2 linked regions of the Lonchura striata genome follow. The protein of the gene in region 1 binds, or shares a complex with, the protein of each later gene. Links are inferred from orthologs where the notes say so. Each region holds a gene or a part of one and is shown on either strand. Other genes may lie near its edges.

What was found. Proteins that work in one complex are often made in the same cells at the same time.
Region 2: the proteins of MYO5A (region 1) and SPIRE2 are in contact, whole or in part, in a crystal structure (PDB 5JCY), measured with the Homo sapiens proteins. The link is inferred for Lonchura striata from reciprocal best matches to the Homo sapiens genes MYO5A and SPIRE2. Residues at the interface, in NP_001369276.1 of Homo sapiens: Asp1551, Val1554, Arg1555, Thr1559, Ile1562, Asn1563, Lys1566, Ser1597, Gly1598, Leu1615, Thr1616, Asn1617, Phe1618, Asp1619, Leu1620, Ala1621, Glu1622, Tyr1623, Val1626, Asp1629, Leu1630, Gln1633; in NP_115827.1 of Homo sapiens: Arg404, Pro405, Arg406, Val407, Leu408, Leu409, Lys410, Ala411, Pro412, Thr413, Leu414, Met417, Glu418, Met420.

The regions. Positions count from the first base shown.
Region 1 is NC_134613.1:12,472,744-12,482,559, reverse strand, and holds the start of MYO5A (unconventional myosin-Va), read right to left. Parts: upstream 4,916-9,816; 5' UTR 4,759-4,915; coding exon 4,732-4,758; intron 1-4,731. UniProt on the Homo sapiens protein: Processive actin-based motor that can move in large steps approximating the 36-nm pseudo-repeat of the actin filament. Can hydrolyze ATP in the presence of actin, which is essential for its function as a motor protein. Involved in melanosome transport.
Region 2 is NC_134615.1:22,898,125-22,908,882, reverse strand, and holds the start of SPIRE2 (protein spire homolog 2), read right to left. Parts: upstream 3,909-10,758; 5' UTR 3,893-3,908; coding exon 3,679-3,892; intron 716-3,678; coding exon 678-715; intron 502-677; coding exon 142-501; intron 1-141. UniProt on the Homo sapiens protein: Acts as an actin nucleation factor, remains associated with the slow-growing pointed end of the new filament.

The DNA.
Region 1 (9,816 bases):
TGTGAGAAGCAAGAGACTCATTAACCAACAAGACAGAATACTAATTAACAAGGGAACTAGGTAACTTGTAGCCAAGGAACATTAATGCCTTTGTTTGCTAAACTATAACTAGTGAGAAGTTTTGGCGGTTGTGGTGCTGCCTTTATGGATTTGCCACCCAGCACCCCTTTCTGTGCAGAACTGTAACTGCATTTGACTTATTTAAAGTCAAATATCTCAGCTCTGTGTGTGGACTGGCCTCTTGCACACTGGATGAATCTACTTTAAAACAAGTCTGCGCAGCAATATATGGGACCGTATAATTAAAGCAGCTTTTTTTAAATCCCAAGAAAAGCCCACAAATAGGCACAGAAATTTTGAAATAGTTCCATTTTCTCTGTTATGCTCAGGTTATTTTTTGCTGTATTTCCCTCCCCATGTAGCCCTCACGTACTCACACAGAGCCATTGCCTGGTCAGAATCTCCATTTGCCATTTTTGCTTGCAAGCAGCCAGCACTGCCAAAGGAGAAGCCCAAGCACTGTGACAGCCCTGCTGCACCCCCAGAGCAGCTGCTGCAGACAGCCACGGGAAAGCAAGGAAGGGCACTGCAATGCTGGGGACAGCACAAGCAGCTTTTGTTCTCTGCAGTTTCCTCTGGCACTTCCCTAACTCAATTTATTGCTCATAAACCCTCAAACTGAACCATTTCAAAGTCAGCTACTGAGATCAGCTTGCCCAGGCCATGCTCTCCAGTGAAAACTGTTTACTGATTCCTCTGTGTGCAAAGGAACATTTCCACTCACTAAAACTGAAATTGGATTAGGCCCTAATCAGGACCAAGCTAGCTGGAGCTAGCTCCCCCTCATCTCAAAGATAATGGAAAGGGAGGAGCCCACTGGTAGCAGCAAAAATGAAAATAAATGAATGTCTGAATGGATAAGTAAATAAATCAGTGCACTGTACACAGCCATGCAAAAGGGAAACAAATCTCGAGAGAGCAAAGCAGCATGCTCTAGGAAAACACAGCATGAAAGAGAAACAACTCAAACTCAGGGGAAAATAGATGGAAACAAAGAATAAAATTGTCGCCTCTTCACCCTGATTATAAAAGAGGCAGCATAAACACAGTGTCTGATCAGTTTTGTTGATTTTTGTGTACAGGCAAGAAGAGCATGTGATGGGGCTTGGTTTCACTCCCCTGAAACTCACAGAGGTGACTTGAAACACCAAGTATGGCAGTTTCAGCAGAGTAGTCAGATGAGTTCCAATTCTAGGCAGAGCATTCTCCCTTGTTCTTAATCTCCACAGAAATCAAATTACATTTAACAAAGGCCAGTACATGGCCTAGATTGTCTCTATCAATTTTTATGGGTCAGCAGAAGTAGGTATATATCTGTTGTTGGCCACCAGCTACTGAAATGCTGAAATGGATCAGTGACACCCAAGCATCGCTCAGTGGGGCTACAACGACCCAAGAACCACACCAAGGCTCTCCTAAGTCTGTTTGCAAAGTCAAAGATCCAAAACTTTCAGAAATAAATGTACAACAAGACCACCTAGACCTGCTAGAGGTATATATCCAACCAGACAAGGCTCAAAAGCATAACGTTTCTAGTAAGAATGCTCGAGACGTGGAACTGATTTAAGCTGCTTCACCCCAAAATTAAAGCTAATGCCCCCAAGCAGAGTCTGAATTTGCAGAGTCACTGGGCACAGGAATACAAAGCCTCATGGTTTGGGCCCACTGCTCTCAACTAGTTTGTGAGTGCACTTGAGTCCTTTAACTTAAATCCATTTTTCTAGATTAACTACAACCATGTCCAACTCCAAGGCTGGCTATATAGCCACCAAATTTAGAAATACATCTGGATGAATCAAAACAATAGGGTTTTCACAGGAGTGGCATGACTTCTTAAAAAAGTCTGTATTGCTGGTTTCTAACAAAAAAATTACCTTGGAAAAATAGAGTTCCTTTCAGCTATTTCAATATATGGTTGGGATAGTGGATGCTAGCTTTATGTTGATATGCAAAGAACCCAAATTTGAAGTGTGGCAAGCACATTTCTCTCCCTCTCAGGATTTTTCATAGAGGTACACAGAGAGAAATGGAGAAAACAATTTCTATTTCTGCTTCTTGTTTTTCCTATGTGAAATATGTTTGGAGAATTGTTTACCTGGAGTGAGTGCTTAGTTGGATTCTGGTGAGGATTGTTTGAGCCTGATGGTCAATCCAACCCACCTGGGGCTGGACTCTCAGAGAGGGTCACGAGTTGTGGGGGAGTTAGAGTCAGAGAAAGTAGTATGTAGTTTTAGTATCCTCCTTTTATATAGTATATTAATTTATTTTAGCATAGTTATAATAAAGAAATAATTCAGCCTTCTGAATTGAGTCAGACATCATCATTTCTTCCCATTGGGTTCGCCTGCGTTTACAATATTGAAGGGATAACCTACGAGCAAACTGGACACACTGGAGCATACAGCAGAGCCCCACTTCCACCACCCCCAGCTGGAAAGAAGTCTGTCCTGCCAATCTCAGACAGCATCTGAAGAAATGCCAACAACTTCTTTGCAACACTGCTCATCCAGTCTTTAACAGAACTTCACCAACCCTCGCTGCAAGTCACTCACACCACCACAGCCACCTGAAAAACACAGGCAAGCTGGGATGGGGGCATCCAGTGGGAGAGGGTAGGAGAGCTGCCTTTGCTCCAGGGCACACAGCAGCAACAATGTGCTGAAAATTCATCCCCAACCCTGCTTGCCAGCAAAGTATCTATGCCAACACCATATGCTAAGAGCTGACACTACACTGGAAGCTCTGGTACTTTAAGCAGCTGCCCTGAATGACAATCTCTGCTTACCAGTTAAAAAAGATGTGAAACTCACTCTTTCTGTGCCTACATGTGTCTCTAAAGAGGACAAGAACAGCCTGTGGTGTGAGAGAAGCACAGACACAATCTCACCGGCCTTCATCACCCAGCCAGTCCTTCCTGCAGGATCATCCCTGCACTTGTCTGACTTTGCGTTTGCTCTTTTTACCTCAGCATGTTTGACCTTAAATCCATTATTTACGTTACCTAATCAAGGATGATCTAGTGAATGCTATTCAAGCAGCATGCTGCCATTACTTGAGGAAAGAGCCAGCAGAGTCTCCCTTGAGCACCCAGCAGGTTTCCTACCCTGGCCTGCCCAACTCTGAGCCAGGCCCTCCTCAGGAATTATAAGGGGCCTTGAGTTTTCTGCTGTAACACAGTTCAAAGACAACAGCACACCCACATTTTTGGAGCAGCTTCTGACCAAAGGAATCAACCACTCAGTGAAAAGTATTCAAGGTCAGATAAAGTTGGGAATTAAAAAAAAAAAAAAAAAAAAAAAAGGAAAAAAGCAAGTAGTCTGATCCACACTTTATGAGACATTTTAATTCCATAAGAAGAACGTCATCAGAGAGGAAGAATCAAAACCACATTTCTAAAATAACTCCTTACACAGAGAAGGTCTGTGGGGTGCCTGAAAACAGCTCTGCAGTACCACCACTCTCTTGACCAGAATGGTAAATTTTATCCCTTTGGGATAGTTCAAAGAGGTATTCTTGTATGAAATACAAAACACCAAGGTGTGCCATATCATTCATGTATTTAATTAATCTTTTGGGGGTTCAGGCATGCACCTCACCTCTCACATTCAATTTCTCCTACACAAATACACTCTCAGAGCAAGCAGTCCCTGTTGAAGGGACTGTCTGGTTTGATTTGCCCTGATGCAGTCACTGCTGTCCCACCACTCCTGAGTGGGAGGGCTCTACAAATAAGGTGACCTATCCATGTCCAAACAAAAAGTCTGTTTCCTTTCCTTCCTTGCAGAGTGCTAGACTGGGGATAATTCTGGAGCATTTAACTAAGTGGCTCAAGGATCCAGATGGCATGGCTTTCCTACCAACACTCTTTGCCTGTGCAAGCCTTTTGAAAGTAGTATTTGGAGTTTGCCATGTTGTGCTGCCCTGCTCAATTCCAGTGGCCTCTGTCATCCCTTCTGCCCTTTAAGACCTGTTTTCTGTCATTTTTTTTCAGATTTATGCACCAGGTCAAGGCGGAGCAACGAAAACAATGCATTGCTAGGAGTGAAAATAACCATTTCCACATCTCAAGTTGCAGGCTTTGCCATCAAGATGCACAGGACGGTAACTGTTTCCAGGCAGAAGCTGATGAGATACTAACACACAAGACTAAAAAGATTAGAAAAATGTCTGATTAAAGAGCATATGAGAGTCACGCTGCGCATCGCTGCTGACTGCAGGGCTTCTGAACGACTGCCAGAAGAACATAATCCAAAGGTGCAGTGTCACCGAAAAGCGCAGCTGAATATCAGAGCGCTCATGTCCTCGGAGCCGTTTTTCCTCAAGGAGCGGGACGGCGCGCCCGAAGGCGATAACCGCGCCGCCGCACCGCGCTGCCCCGGCCGCGGCGCATCCCGGCCGCGCCGCCGGAGCGCGGAGCGCGGAGCCGGGCGGGAGGGGCGGCGCGGCGGCTCCCGCGGGCCCGGGCCGCCGGCACCGGGCTCGCCGGCGGCGGGAGCGGCCCCGCGCCCGCCGGGATGCGGCCCCGCCGGGGCAGCGGCGCCCGCGCTCCCGCTGCTCCCACGGAACAGAGCCCCCGCTGCCCCGGCCGAGCCCCCGCTGCCCCGCCGGCCCCCGCCCGGCCCGCCCCGCGGCCCCACCGCCCCGCGCAGCCCGGCCCCGCCGCCGCCCTACCTTCGTGTAGAGCTCGGAGGCTGCCATGGCGCAGGGCGCGGGCGGGCGGCCCCTCTGCGGCAGCCCGGCGGCGGGAGGCGGAGGCGGGCGGGGGGTGGAGGAGGAGGAGGAGAGGAGGAGGAGGAGGATGCTCAGGCGGCGGCCCGCGCCATGTTGCTGCTACCTGGCGGGCTCTGTGCATTGTGGGAGCGGCGGCGGGGCCGGGCCGGGCCGGGCCGGGCCGGGCGGGCGGCGCGCTGCCTCCCACCGGCGGGCGGGACCGCTCCCGGACCCCTGCGCGAGCCGTCAGTGGGCTGCGCGCCCCCCGCGCTATGCCAGAACCGGTATTCCTCCTCTCCCTTACCATCCTTTTTTAAAATTATTATTCATTTTATTCTTTCTCTCCTACACTGAACAAATTACTCGTTATGTCATCAGGGATAGTTCTGATCTTCTCTGGTCCCCAGCCCGTGCCCTGCTCGAGGCGCGGAGGAGGCTCCGCACCGCGGGCACCACCAGGCGCAGGGAACCCTCCAGTCCCGTCTTTTCACGGGCACCGATTCTAATCCCATCCTTCAAATTATTTACAGCTTGATTGTATTTGTCATTCAAACCGTTACTGAAGGCACTGAAAGGAAATGGGCCCAAACCAGTTCCTTCCGTAATTAAGCCCATTCTCACCAAGACATGGAGGTACACATCGTTGAGAAGTTTAACATCCATGACAAAGGGGAATGAAAAGCATAGTCCGTGCTTCAGCAAGGTCTCAAGATGACAACCGACTCCTTTATGATTTGTTTATGACTGTTTTGTACAGCTCAGGTTATGTCAAGAGTTCTTTTGACAGCAAAACTGAAGCTATTCTCTCTTTCTCTGTTTTTGTTTTCCACCTTGGAAATGCATCCTACTACTCCTAGTCCAAAATACAAACCAAGTTTAACATAGGCAAGTTTGCCACACTCTCCACCAAACTGCTTTTGACTATCTATCCTCTCTCAGAATTCAGCTGTTTAGCTAACAGCTGTGTATTCAGTGGGCAGTATCTGCACTGCCCCTGAAACCCGCAACTACCAAAGAAACAGACAAACCTGTTTACAGAGAAACTGAACCATGAAAGCAATGGGTCAGAAATCACTCATCAATTTAGTAACAGAGAGAAAACACTACCCTGACTCCCAAAACAAACACTCCCAATAAATGCTTATCTGGACTTTACTGCTGCTATCTAAAAAGGAGATGGAGAAAGCAGCAAGCACAAACAGAAAATAGCCAAGATGAAAATAACGTAGCTTACCCAAAATTGTTTGGATTAGGTGCAGACGTATGGCCTTCACAGCTAGGAAACTAAGGTTAGCATATAGAGATTTGTAGAAACACCTGATTTTGCTGGGAGAGTTCAAAATAATGTGAACAGAATTTAAAAATATATTCCTTCCCAGGTTCTGTCAGAACGTCCAGGCTCATCAGCCATGACTGCTGTTGCTGTCCCAAACCAGGATGCTCACTCCAGCAGAACTGGACAGTCACTCTCAGTGTTACTAAAAGCCCAGAATGGGCTCCTGGGAGCTGCTGTCCAGATCAGGGGTGAGGTTTTGGCTAAGCAGTTTTCACAGCTGCTCTTCATCCATCTGCCAAGGCAAACCAGAGAGATCTGTACTAAAGCTGCCAGTCATCTTTCAGGTGCAACGCTGGAACTGCAAACAGAAATTTCAGTTTTGTTTTCAGAAAGGACCTGGACCTCCTCTTGGTGTGATGCTTCACATCGGATTTTTTGAACCCTTTCCTCACAATATTTATGCTAAATTCTTAAATTCTAAGACACTCATTTCAGGAGTTTGCTTGGACTGTGGATTACTGATCTCAGTCACTCACAGCTGGAGCTCATGAGCCAAATGTAATTATGAGCCACAGCAAAAAATAGATATGAGTCCAAAATATGCTATGATTTGACACAATTTGCATAAACCAGGATTTCAAATCTGCCATTAAGGACAGGAATTGAGGGCATTGAAAGTTGCCAAGAAACAACCTGTTTGTAATGTATCCAGACCGACTACTTTAAGATGCATCTCTTGCATCAAATATTTGCTGGCAAGATTTTGAAAGACCTCACCTCTTACCTTGCACACAACATCTTTTTGAAAAGATGGCATTTTTTTTTCAGAGCATAGATCCCAAGGTGTTCCAGATAACAATGTATAAATGATGGAACTGACACAGTCCCCCCATACAATTTTATACTGAATTTTTATGCAATTTTTTTTCAGCAGTTAAGAAGCATTTGTCCTATCCTTTTTCTTACATCTGTGTTCCGTTCATATCTGTGACCTGTTCAACTCTGGCAGATAAATTCCCTTCTCACACAGGACCTCCTATTCTGCTGTCACACTGTACAATGAGTGAGCAGAGAGTTCTCTGCCAAGGCCATATTCTCACACCTCAAGGCCCAGGCCTGGGGATTTCAGCTGTAGGAAACAAACAGGTCTGGTTCCAGCCAGTACTGAGGGAACAGTTAAGAACTCTGAAATGTAATACAAGAGATATGTAGGAAGAGAGACAATCATGTAGCATGCAAGTATGCAGAGCACAGAGGGTGCTGCATAACCTTGGGGACTGAGCTAACTGTGTAAATAACACCCCATGGATCTGGAAGCTGTGCACAGATCAGCACCAAGCCTCGGGCTGACTGGGAAAGTAGTGGGACTTTTTTCCAGCATTGTGGTTTTTCGAATTGTTGCCATATTTAGGCCAACAGTCTAAAGCAATGCAAACTTCTTTGCACCAAGCTGGTTCCCAGACATCCCCTTCATTCAGTGCAAGGGACCCAAACAATCATCTGTTACGGAGTTTTCAAACAATAAGCTTTAATTGCCTTAATAGAAAAATAAGCACTGAAATATATATAAATGTGATTACATTAAAGTAATTCTGCAGTCTAACATACTAGAAACCAAAGCCCAGTCATATTTTTAATGATACAGAGTAGCAAGATTTAGAGTTTAGAAATTTTCCACAGAGAATACCGAAGTATCCTGTATTGTTTAGGAAACCACAGTAAAGATGAGACAAACCTCCATGGTGCAATAAAAACTAAGTAAATCGATTTATTCTGTATACTATACAACGTGTAAGTTTGTAAAGAACAATTGACACTTTTATCACCTTAACATCTTGACTGGGTGTAAATATGTCCAACAAAATGTACTCCTGTGGCCTTTACACAAACACTGTCCTACTACATCAAGAACAATGAGAGGGAAGCCTTTGGTGTTACAGATTTGGGGACATATCTGTGAAGTTGTAATTAATCCACTTAACTATCTCAAATAAAATGTTGGTGCTATCTGCTATAACAAGCCTACATGAGTACTACTCTAACAACTAAACACTGTCTATCTTTAAAGGCAAGATATGAAAGGGACTGCCAGTCTACAGTGTGGACAGGTTTTCTTTGAAAAAGGCAATTATCAAATGGTAAAACTCATATAATACATTATGTACATCAGTTTGGATAGCTGAGTTATCTTGCTGGAGTAAGCTGAAAGTAAGCATCAATCTGCAGTCATGTTCCATTTACTGTTAAGTGACTACTGGACTTCAGTTTTATACAGTGTACAGAATCAAAATAGCTGTGCCTGCTGCTGAGGTCTGTCAGATGTGAAGGCTCATAATCAGTCACTGACATAGTTAGTATTACAGTACTTCAAATATACACATGGAGAATATATTCATAGCTGAATCTGTAGTAATCTTAGGAACTGCAAGTCACTGAGTGAGCATTGGAAGAGCTTGTGTTGTCCAACCAGCAGGACAAGCTGAGTTGTAGCTAAGTGAGTGGAATGTTTAAATTTAAATGGCTATCTTTTTAAACCTTCCCAAACATCAAGAGAACTCACCTTAGGGGAGCTACAGAATAGTGGCACCAGACAATACACAGCAAGTCACCTTAAGCTGTTCAACATTTGTTTCAGGCCCAATCCTATCATTAAGTTTTAATTTCATCTATACATAGAAAAATAAAGAAGGATTTTTCACATTAGAACAAACATTTATGAAAAGCAGCTTGCTTCAATATTTCCAGTTTCCTTGTTATTCTTCCAGCCTAAGTTTTTAAAGAAGTCGAGTAGGTCCATTTCTTCAAACTGTTCTGCAAAATACTAGTATTTTTAATACTAGTGGAGGGTAAGAAATAAGGACAGGCTTGACAAAGCCTATCTAACTACTAAAACAGGGCTATACAGACTTGAAAATAATCAGGTCAGCAATTTTGAAATTCTCTGGAACTGCTTCTCTGAATCAAAAACATTACGTAGACACTGTATGTTCTGATCAAAACAGGACCAAATAAAGACTATTCAATTTCTCTTGACCATTTTGTTTGCTTCTCAAAGAGAGCATTGCAGAAGATATGGGCCAGCACTGGTATTGACTAGCAGTCCTTTATACCCCAAGACCTTTCTGAATATCTCAGCACAAAGTACAAGCTTCTAAAAACATGCATCTTTAAGTGTTTTCTCTTGTGATACTCACATTGGTGCTAACAGGCTGTTTCCAAACTATTTTTTAAAGAAAAAGTGTTCTGTAAACTGATCTTTTTAGTTTCTTGTTCTCCCAAAGACTGTGAAGGCTGTGACTACCTATATGAAAATCAATTACATTGTGGATCATATTCCACTTTCAATATTCTGATTTCATTGAACTCAGATGTTTTAAGTACATCAGTTCACCTAATACCAACTATGTATTTTGTCTATCTAGTACTTACAACCTTCATCATAAGCATGAACTGGAGTTCAATCCTATTTTCTGATATGAAAAGTTACCTATTTCTCAGTAAGTCATTACAGAAATACCTTTCCAGATATTTATTTCCACAAAGCCAATGAGGGGCTGCTGTACAACAGAGAAAAGGAAATAATTTACTGCCTCTTCAGGAGTTCAAGAAAATAAAAAAGATACCCTTCTGCTTCCAGAAATCTAAAATAGCCCATAGCCAATTGCGCATCAAGCATTGGTGAGCCCAAATTTGGTGTTTGCCACGCAGGGAACTCTCCAGAACTGTACACTTAGTCATATTCCATGCCAACAGACAGAGCATTTCTACTT
Region 2 (10,758 bases), on another chromosome or scaffold:
CTGGGAGAGGCTGTACGGCCAAGCACCGGCACCAGCAGCCCTGGTTGGCATGGGCAGAGGGAGCAGTGCAGCCTCCCCCATTCCTTTGTCACTGCAGGTGGTTTCCTCGGCAGGGCCCTGGTGCCAGCAGCCCACGCTCACCTCCTTGGCATCGCGGATCTTGGCGAGGAAGGCCATGAGCTCCACGGTCTCTGCGAAGAGGGCGCGGCACACAGCCTGGTAGTGCGCCGGGGCGCCGGCGGGGTCGGCCAGGCGGGCGGCGCAGCAGCGCATGGCCTGGCCGAAGGTGCGCACCGAGCGAGGCGGCCCCTCGCCCCCCTCCTCCTCCTCATCCTGCCCCCCGTAGCCCTCGTCGGCCGTGGCGCAGCCGCTGTCCTCGGAGTCGCTGTTGGTCATCAGGTCGATGAGCTGCTCCAGGCGCGGGCTCAGCTCCCGCTCCTCGTTCTCGTCCAGCCCCCAGTCCAGCGCCCGGTACACGGCAAAGCCCAGCGACTGCACCATCTGCGGGGGACAGCACCGGCTGGGGCAGCGTGCACCCGGCACCAGCTGGCCCCAGCCCCTCCTTGGTGCTGGTCCCGTCCCAGGACCTGTGACCCCCGGGCGAGGGGGGCAGGTGCTGTGCCCAGCCCACCCCGGGCCGTGATGGCAGATGGGGCAGGTCACCGGCCCCCACGTACCTGGGCTTCGGCCGAGGGCGTCAGCAGCACGGGCAGGTCTGGGGAAGGAGGGGAGAGTCACCCACGGTCCGTGCTGAGTACCCCACCCCGCATCACCCAGGGACGTGGTACCCACCCACTCCGGCCGTGGGGTGCCCACGCTGAGCTGCTCACACCCCCCGCTGCTCCTCCCCCCTTCCCTGGCTCATCTCGTATTTTCCTGGTCCCAGGGCATGGCTCCAAGGCACAGTGGGCACCTGCACGTTGAGCCCTGCTACCAGACAGTGCTGGCACAGCCTCCCAAGGCACCCATGTACCCCTCACTGCGAGGGCTGGAGGGAGCTGAGAGCTCTGCATCCATGGGGAGATGCCCCCCTGTGGGATGTGGGCACTGGCAGTGTGGACACCAGGAGTGTGGGCACCAGCAGCACAGGCACCGGCAGTGTGGGGCCTGGCAGCCACAGCTGGAGCATGGCACACACGGGGAGCCCAGGACACGCTTGTGGGCAGCTTCCCACGGGAGCTGGAGCCCAGGACACGCTTGTGGGCAGCTTCCCACGGGAGCCCTCCTGGCAGCTGCAGGAAAAGGAACACAAATGGCCTCTGCAGTGTCCCCAGGGCTCCCGGCTCTGCTTCCCTCATCATTAGCTCTGCATTGAGCTGATCAATGCGGCAGCCACCAGGATGTGCCAGCCGTGTGCCAGCCATGTGCCAGCCGTGTGCTAGCTTTGTGCAAGCCAGGAATGGACAGGAAAGGCAGCACAAGTGGTGGCCCTGCCATGGTACCACACAGAAGCCCATCAAAAACCATGTCCTGAACTGTGCCCAGCTCCCACTGCAGTACCAGCCCCTGGTGGGTCCCAGCAGCTCTCACCAGTCACTGGGGCGCAGCTGAGGGGGGAATTCCCATAGAATGGGGGACTGGAGCGGTTCCAGAGGGTGCTGCTGGCTCACCCAGCCCAGATCCAGCCCCGTGCCCTGGTAGAGCTGCAAAGCCACGTGCCAGGCTGGTGCCACCACCTGCAGTGTCACCCAGAGGCACCCAGAGCCCTCCCAGCCTCAGGATTCACTGTGAAGGCTTCACTGGTTCATCCCTGGGGAAACAGCTCAGGCTGGCACAGGAGCAACCCGGGAGCAGGAGGCGGCACAGTGGCACTGATAGGTGGCACTGGCAGATGACACCAGCAGGTGACACCGGCAGGTGACACTGGCTCCAGCCCTGCAGTGGCTCAGGACAGGGTGTGGGGCCGTTCCCGTGCAGGACCAGTGGAGCCGGTGTGGCCACGCCGTGCCCAGCCACCATGGGCACGTGCCATGCCTGTGCGTGTCCCTGCCCTGGGCATGGAGCCACCTGATGCACCCGTGTCTGCTCAGCCACTGGCACCAAGGACACACGGTGACCTCGCAGTGTCCCTGCCCAATGTGAGCGAGGCCCCACAGCGACCCCACGACACCAGGTGCCATCCCCGGTGACCTCGCTGTGGGGCGAGACGGGTGGAGGTGCTGGCCATGCTCCAAGTGCTCCTCGTGGCACCCAGCCACCCGGTGGCACCGCTGGCAGCCAGCCTGGTGACACTCTGGAACCGTCACAGCCATACCTGGCAGTGCAAGGCACCTGTGGAAGGACGGCTGGGAGGCCAAAGGTTGGGATGGCGCTGTCCCGTGTGCCACTCCCGGGGCCTGGAGTGGGGCACAAGATCCCCTGCGGTGCAGAGGTGGGTGACGGGCGCCCATGGATGTGCTGTGTGGGTGCCCACGTCCATCTGTCCTTGCTGCGTGTCCTGCAGCCCCACGGTGGTTCCAGGACCACACAAACACCCCCACACCGACTCCAGCCTCCCTGGGTCACCCCGTGCTAGTGACCTGGTTGGTGCCAGTGCGGGTATCAGTGCCACACCAGTGCCAGGCCCCCGGGTCACCAGCCCACCCCCTCCCCCATGCCCCGGGCCACCCCTTGCCCCGATAGATACCGGCAGTGCGGCTGGCACTCCCCTCGCCCGGGCTGGGCATGGGGCTCACCCTCATCCCTGCCGGTGCCACCTTCCTGCTCCCGGTGCTGGCACCGGCCCTTTTCCCTGTCCTCACAGCTTCTCTGATGACCCCCTGCACTGCTCCCCTGCTGCCGGTGCCCCGATGCCTGCCCCACATCTCCGGTGCCACTTCTGCCCGTCTGCCGCTCCGGTACCGGTTCTTCCCCGCCGCTGCCGGTCCTTCCCGCTGGGGCCTCTGCGGGTCCCCCCCCCGCTACCGATCCCCCCGGTCCCTCCGCGTCCCCGACGCCGGTGCAGCACCCCCTGCCGGTGCCGGTAAGTCCCGGTGCCGGTAAGTCCCATGTCCCCGCTCTTTGTGCTGGTAAGTCCCGGCGCCCCGGATCCCGGTGCCGAGAAGTCCCGGTGCCAGTGAGCACCGTAGGCTGCTCGCGGTGCCAGCAAGCACCGGCGCGGGTAAATCCCAGAGCCTCGCTCCTTGCACCGGCAAGCCCCGGTTCCGGTAAGTCCCGATATCCCGGATTCCGGTGTTAGCTAGCCCTGGTGCCGGTAAGCTCTGGTGCCCCCGTACCGGTAAGTCCCATTTCCCCGTTCCTTGCGCTGCTAAGCTCCGGAGCAGGAAAGCCCCGGTGCCGGATCCCAGTGCCGGTAAGCTCCGGTGCCCCGCTCCCGGCGCCTTGCTTTCGGTGCCGGTGAGCCCCGGTGCCCCGCTCCCAGCGTCGGTAAGCTCCGATAAGCCCCCGTGCGTTCCGGTGTTCCGGGGGTCTGTGCCGGTAAGCCCCGCTAAACCTCGGTAAACCCCGGTGCTCCGCTCCCGCGGTGCCGATAATGCCCAGAGCCGGCAAACACTGGTGCCCCGCTCCCGCTGCCTGTAAGCCCCGGTGCCCCGGTGCCAGCCGGTAAGCCCCAGCAAGTCCTGATGCCCGTAAGCCCGGTAAACCCCGGTAAGCCCCGCTTGGCGGTGCCGTCCCGTCCTCCCCCCGCGCGGGCGCCGCCCGCTCCCGCCCCCCCCCCCCGTCGGCGGCGGCCCTCACCGTGCGGCGGGGCGGGCAGGCGGAGGGAGCCGTCGGCGCGGAGGCGGATGTCGGCGGTGCGGAGCGGCGCGGGGGCGACGGGGGCGGCGGCGGCGGCGCGGCAGCCCTGGAAGCAGAGCGCCCAGGCCTGCTCCTCGTTCAGCGGCTGCTCGTAGCACTTCAGCACCTCCTCCAGGGACAGCTCCCGCGGCGGCCCCGCGCCCGCCCGCGCCATCGCCCCATCCCGCACCGCCGAGCGCGGGCGGGGCGCGCCGGGCGGGGGAGACGGGGCGGGGCCGCGCGGGGCCACGCCCCGACAAGCCACGCCCACCCCGGGCCCGTCCGCACCGCTGGGTGTGAGGAGGGGCGGGGCGGTGAGAGAGGCCACGCCCCCCGCCCCGGCACCGGCACCAGCACCGGCATCGGCACCGGCACCGGCACCGACACCGGCCCCACCGCAGGCACCTGCCGAGGCTTGGGACGGCGCAGGATGTACAGGGCCGGGCGGTTCGGGACGGTACGGTACGGTAACGGGAGGGTACGGTGGGGCACGGCGCGGTGAGCTCGGTACAGTCTGTCACGGCACGGTGTGGCGTGGCACGGTATGGCACGGCTCGGTACTGTGGGATATGGCTCGGGACTGTCTGGCACAGCTTGGGGCAGAATGGGATGGGGCAGTAGGGTGTGGCGTGGTACAGTATGGTACGGCTCAGGATGGCACAGCTTGGCATGGCACGACATAGCTCGGCTGTGCATGGCTCAGCAGGGCACGTCAGAGCTCAGCAGCGTGGCTCAGAGCAGCACAGAACAGCTTGGTACCGATGGCATGGCTTGGCATGGCATGGCACGGTACAGCCCAGTGTGGCACGGCACGGCACAGCACAGCACAGCTGCAGAGCTGGGAGCAGGGAGTGGTTACGCTGGGTCAGCTGGGTGCAGAGTGCAGGGTTCAGGGCACACAGCTGGGCACAGGGCACAGGCGTGGATTGCGGGGCGTGCGATGGGGGCAATGCCCAGCATGGGCACGGAGCAGCGCTGGGTGACACCCCCGAGGGACACGAGACACCCCCTGTGCCCCAAGAGGAGCAGGGTGGCCGTGGTCCTGGCTTGGCCCCAGCCCTGGCTCTTGCACCGTTGAGCCCCCATGTCACACGTGGGACAGCATGTGCAGGGACACGATGGCCTTGGCACCAGAGTCACCTGGGGACACAGGAGCAGGAGTCAGGGCAGGAGCAAGGATGCCAGTGCCCATGGGGACTCCTGCCACGAGGAACCTGCCTTGTGGGGTGCTGGGAGAGCCCTGGGGCACTCAGCTGGGATGAGGAGCTGGCACAGGGAAGGAGCCAGGCTGGGACAGGAAAACTTCCTGGAGGGAAGGACAAGAGTTCCAGGTGCCAGAGTGCGGTTTGGGCATGGCCAGGAGCAGCAGGAGCTGGGTGAAGGTGCCAGGATCTGCTGGAGTCTCTAGGCAGACAATATCCCATGGGAATATGGTGTGGGGCTGGCATCCCGCAGCCACTGGGAAAGTCTGACATGAGAGCAGGATCACCTTTGGGTCCCTTCAGACACACGGCAGGATTGTCCTGACAGAGCAGAAAGGACAACCAGTTCATGGGAAAGGTCAGAGGGAGCAAATGAACACTCTTGTCATGATGAGCTTCCCATTTCCATGATGGAAGGAGAATAAAACCCTATCTCAGCTCCATTAACCAATGAGCATAAACAGGGATCAATCCCAGAGCTGTGCTGGCAGGGCTGGGACAGGGACAGAGCTGACACATGGCTGCTGTTCTGTCCCACACGGCCAAAGAGCTGCTCCAGGGCTGGAGATGTCTGTCAAAGAGCCTAGGATGGAGCAGAAAAGCCTTTCAGTGCCAATCCCAGAAAACCTGAACAGTGCCAGCTCCATCTCTGGGGAAGAAACTGGGATATTGGAGCTGGGATACCAGCCCTGCGTGGTGCCCTGGGGTTTGAGAAAGGGGAGAAGGGATACGTGTGATCCAAGGTGTCCGTGCATCTCTGGGAACCTCAAATGCACCGTGGGCGGGTGGGACCGTGCTGCAGGGAGTCAGGAGCACGGTGCCAGCTGCATCTCCAGCCGGATCCGCACGGGATCCTGCCCAGCTGCAGCCCCCGGCGCGGCGCCGATAGCTGGGTCTGGATTGAGAGGTTTGGATGCCCGGTTCACCCCGGAACCAGCCGGGTTGGAGCCTGCTTGGAACCGGGAGCAGGGCCGTGCCGTGCCGTGCCAGCTTTCCAGCGCCTCCGGCCACAGCCGGAGCGGCACCGTCGGGGATGGGAGCGGGAGGACGTGCGGCGTTTGAAGGAAAAGCCACCCTGCAGGATTCACGGCAAGGCATTTGCATGACAAAGCACGGAGCCCTTTGCTTTGGGTAAATCTGTAATTAATACTGAATCGTTGTGTAATTAAAAGCTACCGGCATGGAAAACTCAAACAGAAGCCAAGCCTGTGTGTGGATGAGGGAAATAGAATTAAAGCCAGAAGAAACAGGGGGGAAAGAAAGATGAAGTGTTTGGGAAATGGTGTCAGAGCACTATGGGAGGGTTGGAATCCTGACTCTTGCAGTGTGGAAGCAGGATAAGGTGGGGAGCTGGGATGGAGAGCAGGCAGAGCCCTTCCCCAGCCACCTGCAGCAGGGCTGTGCCACTATTTCCTCGTGGGTAATCCATTCCCGTGGGTCTCAGCTCTCATATGCAAAAATAAATTCCTCCCAAAGCCACAGGAACCTGGGATGAGCGCACAGAGCACCTGTGGGGTGGATGTGCTCTCCTGCTTTCCCTCCATGCTGCAATAAACTGGGAACATGGAAGGAGGGAGCATTTTACTGGGCCATTTTCTGCTGCCGTATGCTGGCCAGAGTTTGAGGGGGGACACTCTGAGAGACAGCCTGGGGACACTTGTGACCCTTGGGGGCATCAGGGGGGGACCTTGGGGACACCATGAGGACCTTAAGGTCACCCCTGGAAACTCCCTGAAGACCTTGAAGGCATTCCAAGGACAATGGGAACACCACTGGGGATGCTGGGAATAAACACTGTGAGTACTCTGGAATGCCGAGCTCACAGTTGGATGCCTGCTGGGCCCAGTCGTGATGGGGGATCCCAAAAGCTGGGGCTGCCCAGACCCCCCAGAATCTGGGGCTGACACAAAGGTGCAGATGGCACTGGGGGTTAAGGCGACTCGGGAATGTGACTCTGGCCAGGGTTCCCAGACTCGGTGGGATCCCGTGGCACTGTCCATGCTGGATCTGTGCTGGATCTGGATCTTCTCCTGGCTCCTGGCAGCATGTGCTGCTGACTCACACCAGCACTGCAATAAACCATCCACGGCCAACCCCAGCAGGAGCTGCTTCCTGGCGCTGGACACACCCCGAGGACTTCATCTTTCCATAGGGAATTGCCCCTGCTGCTCCCATCCATGGTGGTCGACAGCAGCGGTTCATCATCAGGAAGGATCGGATCCGAGGGAAAAATTCCTCTGTGAATTCTGCTCTGCTCCTGGTGAAACTTTGTGGCCATTCAGGACCTAAAGAGATCTGAGGAAAAAGAGGGAGAGGGCTTTTGGACAAGGGGTGGAGTGCCAGGGCAAGGGGAATGGCTTTGCACTGCCAGAGGGCAGGGTGAGATGGGATATTGGGAAGGAATTCCTGGCTGTGAGGGAGGTGAGGCCCTGGCACAGGGTGCCCAGAGCAGCTGTGGCTGCCCCTGGATCCCTGGAAGTTGGACAAGGCTTGGAGCAGCCTGGGACAGTGGGAGATATCCCTGCCATGGCAAGGGGTGAAACGAGATGAGCTTTAAGGTCCCTTGCAGCACAAACCATTCCCTTCCAATCCAAACCATTCCACAATTCCATTATTTATTCTCCCAGCAATGCTGGTGATTCTTCCCTTTGGGAATTCCAGCCACTCTTGTCCCCTTCCCTGGGTGGGATCAGGGTCAGCAGCTCAGACCTGAGAGGATCGGAGCTCCCCGTGTCCCACACACTCCGAGCTCACACCCCACACCCACAGCGGGTCCTGTTGCCGTGTCCCTCACACCGCACAGCCACAGCGGGTCTCCTCTCCGTGTCCCTCACACCGCACAGCCACAGCGGGTCCCCTCGCCGTGCCCGACCCCCCGTGTCTCCCCACGCCCTCCTCGTCCCCTCCCGCCGCCCTTCCCAACATGGCAGCGCCGCCTCAGCCACCACAGAGAGGGTGGCGGGGGCGGGACTACGCAGCGCTTCCAACCAATGGGCAGAGGCGGCGGGGTGGGCGCGGGCGGCCTCTGCTCCCTTCCAGCCAATGGGATCGGTGGGTTCGGCCGGCGGGAGCCAATGGCGGCGCGGGCTCTCGCGGCGGGAAGCGGCGGGCCGCGATGGCGGGCGCGGGCGGGAGGAGCTGGCGGGACCTGCTCGGTACGTGAGGGCTGAGGCGGGCCCGGGGCGAGCTCCGCGCCGGGCGCTCCCTGCGGGGACAGCGGAGGGGACAGGGGAGCGTGAATGTCCGCCCTCTGCCTTCCTGCACCCCTTCTCTCTATCTGCACACAGCCCTCCCTCTGCCCCCATGTCCCGTTCCATGCACCCCGCTCTGCCTTCCTCAGAGCCGCCGTGTCCCGGTACTCAACATCTGCCCTTGTACATCCCTCTCTGCTTTCCTCAGAGCCCTCGTGTCCCGGTACTCAACATCTGCCCTTGTACATCCCTCTCTGCTTTCCTCAAAGCCGCCGTGTCCCGGTACTCAACATCTGCACTTGTACACCCCCGGTACACAACATCTGCCTTTGTACCCTCCGCTCTGCTTTCCTCAGAGCCGCCGTGTCCCCATACACCCCCTCTCCCTGCCCTCATGTCTCCCGTATGTTTTCCTCACACCCCGCTCTGCCTTCATCCTCAGCAGCAGGAGCGGGAGGTGGTTTCGGGCTGTCTTGGGAACTCACTGCTCAATAAACCCAAACTTCTCAGCAGGGAGAACCAGGAAGAGGAAAAGCCCCTTTGGGAGCACAGCAGAGCTCCAGGGAGCGGCTCTGCGGCTGCTGGATCAGCACCAGAACCTGGCTGACCTCCTCCTGGAGGTAGGAATGGGACAGGGATGTTCCAGGGTGTCGTGGGCTGGCTGGGCAGCGGGAGAGCCCAGCTGGAGGTGGGTGCCACTGGCTGTGGAGTCAAGGTCCCAGGAACACAGTGTTCCATGGTACGTGGAGAGAAAAACCAACAGTGTAGGAGGAAGATGAAGCTGAAAGCTCCGTTTTGCAGAAATGGGATTGTTACCCCTTTTCCATCAATGTTGTACGGACTAAAAATGGTTAAGCATGGTTTGGGACAAAGGGAAATCCAGCACATTTTCCTTCAGATCAGAGCTGTCTTCTTGTGAATCTAGGGAAGACAATTCAGAAGGGACTTGGCTTTTCCCTGAATTACCAACCACACCTGGCTGCCCTGGCTGTCCTCATGACAGCCTTATCTTCTCATTCAGCTGCCTTCTCCCTCTCCTCACACACTGATTTTACAGTTACAACACATAATGAAAATATCTCCTGTAGTTCAGGATCTGGATTTCTCTAGAGAATATTTCCCGTTATAAAAAGAAAAAGGGGATTTAACTAGAAAATCAGCCAACATTTGGACAAGTTTCATCAAATATTTATGGCCACATGGCTTCACAGAAAGGACTTGAAAGGTAAGGATTATAAAAATTCTGCTCCTGGTGCTGCTGCTGAGCTGTTTGGTCCCTGGGGATGAGGAACTTTGACCTGTATCTCCTTTTTTATGCATAAACTGACAATAACTAAACACACACCTCTTGTAAGGTGAAATCTGTGCTTTTCCACTCCCACGTGGGAGCTTCGTGTAAATTTGTTGTCAGTTGCTCCAGCAGTGCAGGGATAGGTTTATGTATAGGGATAGGTGACAGACATCTAAGAGTTCTAAGGTTTTATTTGGTTTCCAGGTGGGAGATCCAACCAAGCCAGGTGTGCAGGATGGGGCAGAGCACCAGGGAGTGTCACCAGAATCTTTTATAGGTGAGCATCTACCAGACCAGATGTGGGGAAGAGCCCTTCCTCAATACTGAATTTCTGTCTTTATGGGCATCCGCAGTTTTACTTGCTTTTCATTGTTCTGCTCTTGTTTCTTACTTGCCTGGTGATGACAACCTTCTGCTTTGCTGTTTAGTCTCTGTTCTGCAGGAACAGGCCTCCAAACTGGGTGTGCCCACAGCGACCTTGGCAGCCAAAAATGCCGTTGCCAACGTGGAGCGGATCTGCCAGGATTCTGCCAGCCCCTCAAGAGTCCCACTGCTGAACTCTGACCAGAGAGTAAGGGGAAAGCTTTATCTTTAATTTGTCAACAAAACAGCACTGTTAGGTTTCACTTTAAGCCCAGTTTATCTGCTCTGATTAAACCCCAAACATGAGCGGAAAATTATTCACTGAGGTGTTCAATTTGCTTGCAGAAGTACAAGATACATAAGAAGTTTAGGCCTTTCCCCTAAATTCTCTCCATCATTTGAACCTTTAAAAAGCAGCAAACAGGGCAAAGCAACAAATTGCTTTTCTGAGAGCATATTCACAAAGAGAAATATTTCTGCTTCGTTTCCGGGGTGATGCCAGAGGAGGCTGACCTGCTTGCTTCAGACTGTGAAGGATTTGCTGGCAAACAACATGTTCTGTCGCTCCCTCTTCTGCCAGGAAATGTGGAAAATGAAGGTGAGAACTGATGGAGAAACACTGTGGTGTGGTGTGGTGTTGACCATGAGGATTCATCTCTGAATTCCTAAGAATGACTGGTTTTCCTGACCTTCCAAAAGCATGAGCTGAATTACAGATGGTGGGACTTTTTGGTTGCTCTGTTTGTTTTAGAGCAAATTTAGTGGGAACTTCCTTGTCTCTGCAGTGGGATTTGCTTTTTCAACCCAGTTGAGGTTTGGAATTATTTGAATTATTGGAAACTGCCACAAAAGATCATTGACAGCACCGTGGTGATCAGATGCTGGTTTTGGGGTGCTCTCCAGGTCCAGTGCAGAAACTCCCAGCTAGCTGTGGGATGGCACAGTCCCAGAGCCCCTTGTGTGCTTTTCCAGCAATATTCTAAGTGTCTTTGGC